2 linked regions of the Saccharomyces cerevisiae S288C genome follow. The main gene of each other region encodes a partner of the protein of the gene in region 2 in a complex. Each region holds a gene or a part of one and is shown on either strand. Other genes may lie near its edges. The genes, in order: NTH1 and BMH1. A codon is read from its position in the direction of its gene.

Region 1 (4,809 bases), on a different chromosome or scaffold from region 2:
GCTGTGTGCCATTGTAATCTCTCTCGGACTGCCTGTAGGTAGGCGGGGTTAACCAAGCGGTTCCCCTAATCGGAGCTTGACCCATAATTCTTCTTCTCCTATTCACTTTTGCAGTTGAAAACAGAAGTATAAGGAGTGCAACTATGAAAAAAATAAAAAAAATCCATCTTCCCCATCTCCATGAGGAAGAGCTAAATGGATCATCATCTGTAATCGCTTCACCATTGTTATTATTATCATCCTGTCTTTTATGTATTAGGAAGTCGATCTGCTCCCGTAAAATCATTTCAAAACTATACTCTCTGTTTAGCTAAATTTCCTTCAGCTTTCTAGCGAGCTAAGGAATGTATTCCAAATTTACTGCTCCTTTATTACGTCAAAAATTTCTATAGTATTCGATTCTCATTAGTAATTATAAAGGAGTAGCGAGAAAAACAAAAATAAAAGGGCGGAAACATAAAGATGGTAAATAAGACAGAGAATATTACCCGGAAACATACTACGAGATTATTGAGCTAATCTCCATGCACCAAAGTGGTTAGACATTTGGCTACATTGACTACTGCAACAATTACTTGAACCCTCTAATCCTTCTTACATATCTATTCATATGTGATTTCACAATGCTACATAAGCGTTTTTTATATAATTAAAGAGCAACTTTTCCTCACAGTAGATAAAAATATATATGCACGCTGTAAAGGAAAATTACATTAGGAACAAAAAAATCTAGACGCAAGTAACAAGCACATCGAAACTAAGCCTTTTTGTTGATTTCTTGAGCTTTTTCAAATTCTTCTTTAAATTTATCAGCATTTTCCTTACTGCCAAATCTGATAGCAAAAGTGAAGGCTTCTGCTTCACCTTCTGCAATATCTGCTGTACAAGCATACACCCAAGATCTATCAGAACCAACGTTAGGCTTCAAAGTGTATTCTGGAGCAATGATGTGGTTAGCACAAATCTTTAAGGTCTTGTCTCTTCTCATCAATATTCTAACCTTGTTAGTCTTTTTGTTCTTCAAGAACTTACAGTCACCAGTACCTCTTTCTTTCCATTCCTTGGCATCGGCATCGAATCTGAAAAGCTTGGCTCTGACCTTGTAAAGAACTTCTTCGTCTTCTTCCATTGTCTTAACATCTACCTTTTCCAGGTGAACCACTGGTTCAAAATGGATATCTGGTGATTCTGGAGCATCATCACCTTCCTTCTTGGTTTCCTCCTTGGTATCTTCTTCGTCTTTCTTGGTTTCTGGCTTTTCGGCCTTCTTACCACCAAACATGGAGAAGACAGCAGAGGATGGTGGCTTTGGAGCAGCCTCTTCCTTCTTGTCGACGACAGGTTTCTTATCTTCGCTAGACATTCTTTTTCTATAGTTGTGTTTATCTTCTTGCTTTTATTTCAAATTAAACAAGATCTTTCTTCTTTCTCCAATTGAATATCAATTTCATCATCAGATTTTAGTTTCTGTTTTATTTTTTATTTTTTTATTTTTTTTTTGTTTCTTGTTTTCCGCGTACTTCCCGCTGGGCGAAAAAAGAAATGAAAAAAAGAAACGACAGGAGCATCGTGTAGGACGAAGCCCCTTATCCCCTAGTTACCGAAGAAGGCCACCAATCTTAAGTTTGATAGAGCAGTACTTATATAAGGCTATATATAGACTGGTTCACAAGGTTATCAATATGAAACTTGCGCGATCACCGATTTACGGGATTTTTCAGGAGCGAGGTACAAGATTTGTTGGCCTGAAAAGATCGCAAAACATTAGCTAGAAATTTTCCCCCTATCGTTTTCCGTAGAGTAAATATAATATCAAGAAGATAGTTTTATATTGACTGATTTCACAACCAACTGCATAGATATAAGGAGATTACTAGATACAAGAACGCCTGATAAACAAAAAAAGAAAAATTAACAAAAAAAATCAGTAGAATGAGTCAAGTTAATACAAGCCAAGGACCGGTAGCCCAAGGCCGTCAAAGAAGATTATCATCACTAAGTGAATTCAATGATCCATTTTCGAACGCAGAAGTCTACTATGGCCCCCCAACAGACCCAAGAAAGCAGAAGCAGGCAAAGCCCGCTAAGATCAACCGTACGAGGACTATGAGTGTTTTCGATAATGTATCTCCTTTCAAGAAAACTGGTTTTGGTAAACTTCAACAGACTAGACGTGGTTCTGAGGATGACACCTATTCAAGTAGTCAAGGTAATCGTCGTTTCTTTATCGAAGATGTCGATAAAACACTTAATGAACTACTGGCTGCTGAGGATACCGATAAAAATTATCAGATCACCATCGAGGATACCGGTCCAAAAGTTTTGAAAGTCGGTACCGCAAACTCCTATGGCTATAAGCATATTAATATTAGGGGTACGTATATGTTATCCAATTTGTTGCAGGAACTAACTATTGCGAAAAGTTTTGGTAGACACCAAATTTTCTTAGATGAAGCTCGTATAAACGAAAATCCCGTCAACAGATTATCAAGATTGATAAACACACAGTTCTGGAACTCTTTGACCAGGAGAGTTGATCTGAACAACGTAGGCGAAATTGCAAAAGATACCAAGATTGATACGCCGGGGGCAAAAAATCCAAGAATCTATGTTCCTTATGATTGTCCAGAACAATACGAATTTTATGTTCAAGCTTCTCAAATGCATCCATCTTTGAAATTAGAAGTTGAATATTTACCAAAAAAAATAACGGCAGAATACGTCAAATCCGTCAATGATACCCCCGGTTTACTAGCATTGGCTATGGAAGAGCACTTCAATCCTTCTACTGGTGAAAAAACTCTCATTGGTTACCCTTATGCTGTTCCTGGTGGTAGATTCAATGAATTATATGGTTGGGACTCCTATATGATGGCACTAGGTCTCCTAGAAGCCAACAAGACTGATGTTGCAAGAGGTATGGTGGAGCATTTTATTTTTGAGATTAATCACTATGGAAAAATATTGAATGCTAACAGAAGCTACTATCTATGTAGATCACAGCCCCCATTCTTGACTGAAATGGCCTTGGTAGTATTCAAAAAACTTGGTGGTAGGAGTAATCCCGATGCTGTGGATTTGTTGAAAAGAGCTTTCCAAGCAAGCATAAAAGAGTACAAAACTGTTTGGACCGCATCTCCAAGGCTTGATCCCGAAACAGGCTTATCCAGGTACCATCCTAACGGTCTCGGTATTCCTCCGGAAACTGAAAGTGATCACTTCGATACCGTTTTACTACCATATGCATCGAAACACGGCGTTACCTTAGACGAATTTAAGCAACTTTATAACGATGGTAAGATAAAGGAGCCTAAATTGGATGAGTTTTTTCTTCATGACCGTGGCGTTAGAGAATCTGGACACGACACTACATATAGGTTTGAGGGCGTATGTGCCTACCTGGCCACTATTGACCTGAATTCTCTTCTTTACAAATACGAGATTGATATTGCAGACTTCATAAAGGAATTCTGCGACGACAAATATGAAGATCCTTTAGACCATTCTATAACAACTTCAGCTATGTGGAAAGAAATGGCCAAAATCAGACAAGAAAAGATTACCAAATATATGTGGGATGACGAGTCGGGGTTTTTCTTTGACTACAACACAAAAATCAAGCACAGAACGTCATACGAATCCGCAACTACATTCTGGGCATTATGGGCTGGACTTGCCACGAAGGAGCAAGCACAGAAAATGGTGGAGAAAGCACTACCCAAGTTAGAGATGCTTGGAGGTTTAGCTGCATGTACGGAGCGTTCTCGAGGCCCAATTTCTATTTCGAGACCAATTAGACAATGGGACTATCCATTTGGTTGGGCACCCCATCAAATTCTTGCTTGGGAAGGCCTCCGTTCTTATGGTTATTTAACTGTAACGAATAGGCTAGCTTATAGATGGCTTTTCATGATGACAAAGGCTTTTGTCGATTATAATGGTATTGTGGTTGAAAAATATGATGTCACAAGAGGAACAGATCCTCATCGTGTTGAAGCAGAATACGGTAATCAAGGTGCTGACTTTAAAGGGGCAGCTACTGAAGGTTTTGGATGGGTCAATGCCAGTTACATTCTTGGTTTGAAGTATATGAACAGTCACGCAAGAAGAGCGCTTGGTGCTTGCATTCCACCAATATCATTCTTTAGCAGTTTAAGGCCTCAAGAAAGAAACCTCTATGGACTATAGTTGAGATAATATATATATATATATATATATACTCCAGGTACAGTCCTCTAGGTACCTAAATCCTCTTTATATGATCTGCCGATAGATAGTTCTAAGTCATTGAGGTTCATCAACAATTGGATTTTCTGTTTACTCGACTTCAGGTAATGAAATGAGATGATACTTGCTTATCTCATAGTTAACTGGCATAAATTTTAGTATAGGTTAACTCTAAGAGGTGATACTTATTTACTGTAAAACTGTGACGATAAAACCGGAAGGAAGAATAAGAAAACTCGAACTGATCTATAATGCCTATTTTCTGTAAAGAGTTTAAGCTATGAAAGCCTCGGCATTTTGGCCGCTCCTAGGTAGTGCTTTTTTTCCAAGGACAAAACAGTTTCTTTTTCTTGAGCAGGTTTTATGTTTCGGTAATCATAAACAATAAATAAATTATTTCATTTATGTTTAAAAATAAAAAATAAAAAAGTATTTTAAATTTTTAAAAAAGTTGATTATAAGCATGTGACCTTTTGCAAGCAATTAAATTTTGCAATTTGTGATTTAGGCAAAAGTTACTATTTCTGGCTCGTGTAATATATGTATGCTAATGTGAACTTTTACAAAGTCGATATGGACTTA
Region 2 (3,442 bases):
ATGGTACGAACATGACCTATCCTGGTGGGAGTGCGAAGAACAGCTCCTAACCCGCGGACCAATTGTGATGGTTGGCGTTTGAATGAAGCAGCAAGCATTGGCACAAATGTGGTTTCCTTTCTTATTGCTGTATCCAACTTTTGTGAAGATACAGGTGCGACAAACATAAAAAAGTTCTTGCCGTTAAGAAGCTAAAGTTGCTTCTCGCTATACCAGAGGGGATTATTGTCGGGAGTCATGATGCGACATTTACCCGGTTGAGTAAGGAAGGGGTGGAGGAATCAGAAGAGAGATAAATAAACATACACGTCAAAACAGTATAGTTCAAGTAACACATATAGACATGTACACGCGCGATTACGTGTGTACATGCACATGTTAATGTTATATACATATATAGATATAGATATATAATTGCAATAATGAACTACAAATTATTACACCCCCGTTCTTTTTTTTTTCTTTTTTTTAGTAATTTCTCTTTAGATTTATCAGAATACTTACTTTGGTGCTTCACCTTCGGCGGCAGCAGGTGGCTGCTGTTGCTGATGTTGTTGTTGTTGTTGTTGGTCTTCAGCTTGACCGGACTCGGACATGTCTGAAGTCCATAAGGTTAAATTGTCCCTTAGCAGTTGCATGATAAGTGTGCTATCTTTGTATGATTCTTCAGACAGAGTGTCCAACTCAGCAATAGCGTCGTCAAAAGCTTGCTTGGCCAAATGGCAGGCTTTGTCTGGAGAGTTTTGAATTTCATAATAGAAGACAGAGAAGTTAAGAGCCAAACCTAGACGGATTGGGTGAGTTGGGGGTAACTCTGTGGTGGCAATTTCAGAAGCGGTCTTGTATGCTTCTAAAGAGGCGTTTGTGGCCTTTTCTCTAGCATCGCCACTAGAAAATTCAGCCAAATAACGGTGGTAGTCACCCTTCATCTTATAGTAGAAAACCTTGGACTCGCCAGTGGTGGCTGATGGAATTAAGTGGGAGTCTAGCACGGACAAAATATCGTCGGAGATCTTAGTTAGTTCGGTCTCAATCTTCGAACGGTACGAACAAATCAACTCGACCTGGTGTTCGGACTTCTCCTTGGACTCCTCCTTTTGCTCAATAGAAGAAACAATTCTCCAAGAGGCACGACGAGCACCAATAACGTTCTTATAAGCAACAGACAACAAATTACGCTCTTCGACCGACAACTCTTGGCCAGAGGAGGCAACAGTCTTCATGTTTTCGACCATTTCTTCATAACGTTCGGCCTGTTCAGCCAACTTGGCTAGGTACACAGAATCTTCACGACTGGTTGACATTTTTATCTTTAGTTTATCTTTAACTTGCTTTTTCTTCTCACTTGCTTGCGCTCTCAATTTTGAAAAGTAGGAAAAACTAAGTTATTTTTGCAGAAACTACACGGTTTTATGTTACGGTTCGTCTCGTTTTCAGGTTTAAGGTCCAATAATAAAGAGTTTCCTTTTCCTTTTTCCTTTTTGCTGCGCGTGGAAAAGCGTGTCTTTTTCTCATACCCCTGTTTTTTTGTTTTTTTTTTTATTTTTTTTGCTTTTCTTTGCTTTTTGCCTCGTCCCCCCGCGCCCCGGCCACAAAGAGGAAGCTATTTGCCACCGAGCTTCCTCTTTTGACTCCAGGCCGGAATAAAGTAGCTTCCGCAAAACTTCGCTCCACTTTCCAAAGAGGAAGCCCGTCACGTGGCTGCGCTGTCTCCCCCCCCCCCCCCCCTTTTTCCCCTGTGTTTTCGATCTACCGATTTTCTGTTCTATAACTACGTCCATTATCTATCTATATCTATCTATCTCTGCATTGCGCAATCAATACATAAACAGTGGATTTTCTTGCCGCCGCCTAGCCGGCTAGTAAGCTGTGAGATCAGTGAATATGACCTCTTGTTCCTCGAGGTAGGTAATGTAGTCTTTCCATAGGGGGTCTCCTTTTCTTAAGACATTCTTGTTGCCCACCACAATTAGTCCGTGCTTGGCTCTTGTCAATGCCACGTTTAACCTTCTTTTGTCACGTAAAAAGCCGATTTTGTTTTCGGTGTTATTTCTGACACATGAAAATATGATGAAAGATTTTTCGTGGCCTTGAAAGGAGTCTACGGTCGCGACGTGTAGGCCGTTGATGATGTTAATCACATTGTTTTGTAGACTGCCGGCGGTTCCTTGAGAACCAGCCGCGTTAAATAGCTCAATTTCATCGTATTCTTGTTGCATAGAAATCTGTTTGGGGTTGATAACTACGTTTTTGGTCAAGATGTCAGACAGCAGATCACGCTGTGCAGAATAGGGCGTTATGACACCAATTTCTTCCAGCGGAACCTTCTTGTCCAACATTAGTATTTGGATAATCTTCACGATTTCTACACATTCGTGTTTGTTTTCGTACGTAAACCCGACTATGTCTCTTTGCGTGCTTCTCACTCTGCTCTCGGGCCCCAAATCGCACTGATAAAAAAACAACGGATGCTGCACGCCAGGCCATGCCTTTTGTTCGTCCGTGACACCGTCCTTCAATTCACCATTGTATATTTTCTTAATGGGGAATTCGCTAATTTTTGGGTGCATTCTGTACTGCGTATCCAGCATTAGTGGGTTTTTGTACGTGCCATTAGATAGGACTCTTTCGAATAGTGAGGTTTCCAGTTGAGGGATGTTGCTGAAACTTGACAATTGCTTTTCGTCCCCAACGAAGACAAAATTTCTTATACCTGGTAACGAAAGTGGGACTAGTGTTGAAGCCTCTGATGATTGTGTAGCCTCATCCATTATTACCACGGGACATTCTTTTATAACCTTCAATTCACGACCACCTGCAGCAATGTTTGTCGTGAAAATTATTTGCGATTGAGATACGACCTTGTTGGTGACACGGTTTTTCTCTTTATAAAACTTCGTGTCCTCTGATTTGGAGATCATTTCGCCCCTGCGGGTTTTGTTTGCCACGACTTGCATGTCTGGGGAAAGATTTTTGTATACAATATTGTGGAGACAAATTTCGCCCAATGGGTGGTCATCACTATACTGTTGTTCTTTCTTCTTTGACAAAATTCTTAAGATCTTTATCTGCGGTCTATTCTCCATAATCTTCTCGGCAATGTTATCAATAGCAATATTTGACGCGGCAACACACAATATTGGGAATGCGTGAAATCTTTCAATTACTTGGATGATTATCTCCTCTATTGTTGATGTTTTACCTGTACCAGGTGGGCCTTGTAGAATTGTGATACTGTTGTTTAGAACATGTTCCACTGCAGTCTTCTGAGATCGGTTCAACTTGTCACTGGAAAATTTTAGCCTGTTATCAAAATAAATCTCTTTAATAGGCTTTTGGCCTAGTAATAGGTCAATAAATTTTGGGTTTGTAATACGCGTCATGGCAAATAGAATTCTACTTGTCTGCGCAGAAGTTGGCAATAGCTTAAATTGAGATGAAC

What was found.
Region 1: the proteins of BMH1 (region 2) and NTH1 are in contact, whole or in part, in a crystal structure (PDB 5N6N), measured with the Saccharomyces cerevisiae proteins. Residues at the interface, in NP_011104.3 of Saccharomyces cerevisiae: Gln17 (codon at 1,256), Glu19 (codon at 1,250), Asn44 (codon at 1,175), Val48 (codon at 1,163), Lys51 (codon at 1,154), Arg58 (codon at 1,133), Arg62 (codon at 1,121), Ile63 (codon at 1,118), Ser66 (codon at 1,109), Ile67 (codon at 1,106), Lys70 (codon at 1,097), Lys125 (codon at 932), Arg132 (codon at 911), Tyr133 (codon at 908), Gly174 (codon at 785), Leu177 (codon at 776), Asn178 (codon at 773), Val181 (codon at 764), Phe201 (codon at 704), Ile205 (codon at 692), Ala206 (codon at 689), Leu208 (codon at 683), Asp209 (codon at 680), Leu211 (codon at 674), Ser212 (codon at 671), Glu213 (codon at 668), Glu214 (codon at 665), Tyr216 (codon at 659), Lys217 (codon at 656), Asp218 (codon at 653); in NP_010284.1 of Saccharomyces cerevisiae: Phe73 (codon at 2,149), Gly74 (codon at 2,152), Lys75 (codon at 2,155), Leu76 (codon at 2,158), Thr79 (codon at 2,167), Arg80 (codon at 2,170), Arg81 (codon at 2,173), Gly82 (codon at 2,176), Ser83 (codon at 2,179), Glu84 (codon at 2,182), Asp85 (codon at 2,185), Thr87 (codon at 2,191), Tyr88 (codon at 2,194), Ser89 (codon at 2,197), Ser90 (codon at 2,200), Ser91 (codon at 2,203), Gln92 (codon at 2,206), Thr135 (codon at 2,335), Asn137 (codon at 2,341), Ser138 (codon at 2,344), Lys142 (codon at 2,356), Arg147 (codon at 2,371), Gly148 (codon at 2,374), Tyr150 (codon at 2,380), Met151 (codon at 2,383), Asn178 (codon at 2,464), Glu179 (codon at 2,467), Asn180 (codon at 2,470), Val666 (codon at 3,928), Asp667 (codon at 3,931).

What each region holds. Positions count from the first base shown.
Region 1 is NC_001136.10:449,599-454,407, reverse strand, and holds NTH1 (alpha,alpha-trehalase NTH1), read left to right. Parts: upstream 1-1,932; coding exon 1,933-4,188; downstream 4,189-4,809. Other genes in the region: RCR2 (Rcr2p), read right to left, coding at 1-286; Ran GTPase-binding protein YRB1, read right to left, coding at 758-1,363. UniProt on the Saccharomyces cerevisiae protein: Hydrolyzes intracellular trehalose to glucose. The disaccharide trehalose serves as a storage carbohydrate that is mobilized during nutrient stress. Regulates the level of trehalose as a protectant for cell integrity during heat stress.
Region 2 is NC_001137.3:543,473-546,914, reverse strand, and holds BMH1 (14-3-3 family protein BMH1), read right to left. Parts: upstream 1,305-3,442; coding exon 501-1,304; downstream 1-500. Other genes in the region: PDA1 (pyruvate dehydrogenase (acetyl-transferring) subunit E1 alpha), read right to left, coding at 1-98; ECM32 (RNA helicase), read right to left, coding at 1,860-3,442. UniProt on the Saccharomyces cerevisiae protein: Involved in growth regulation.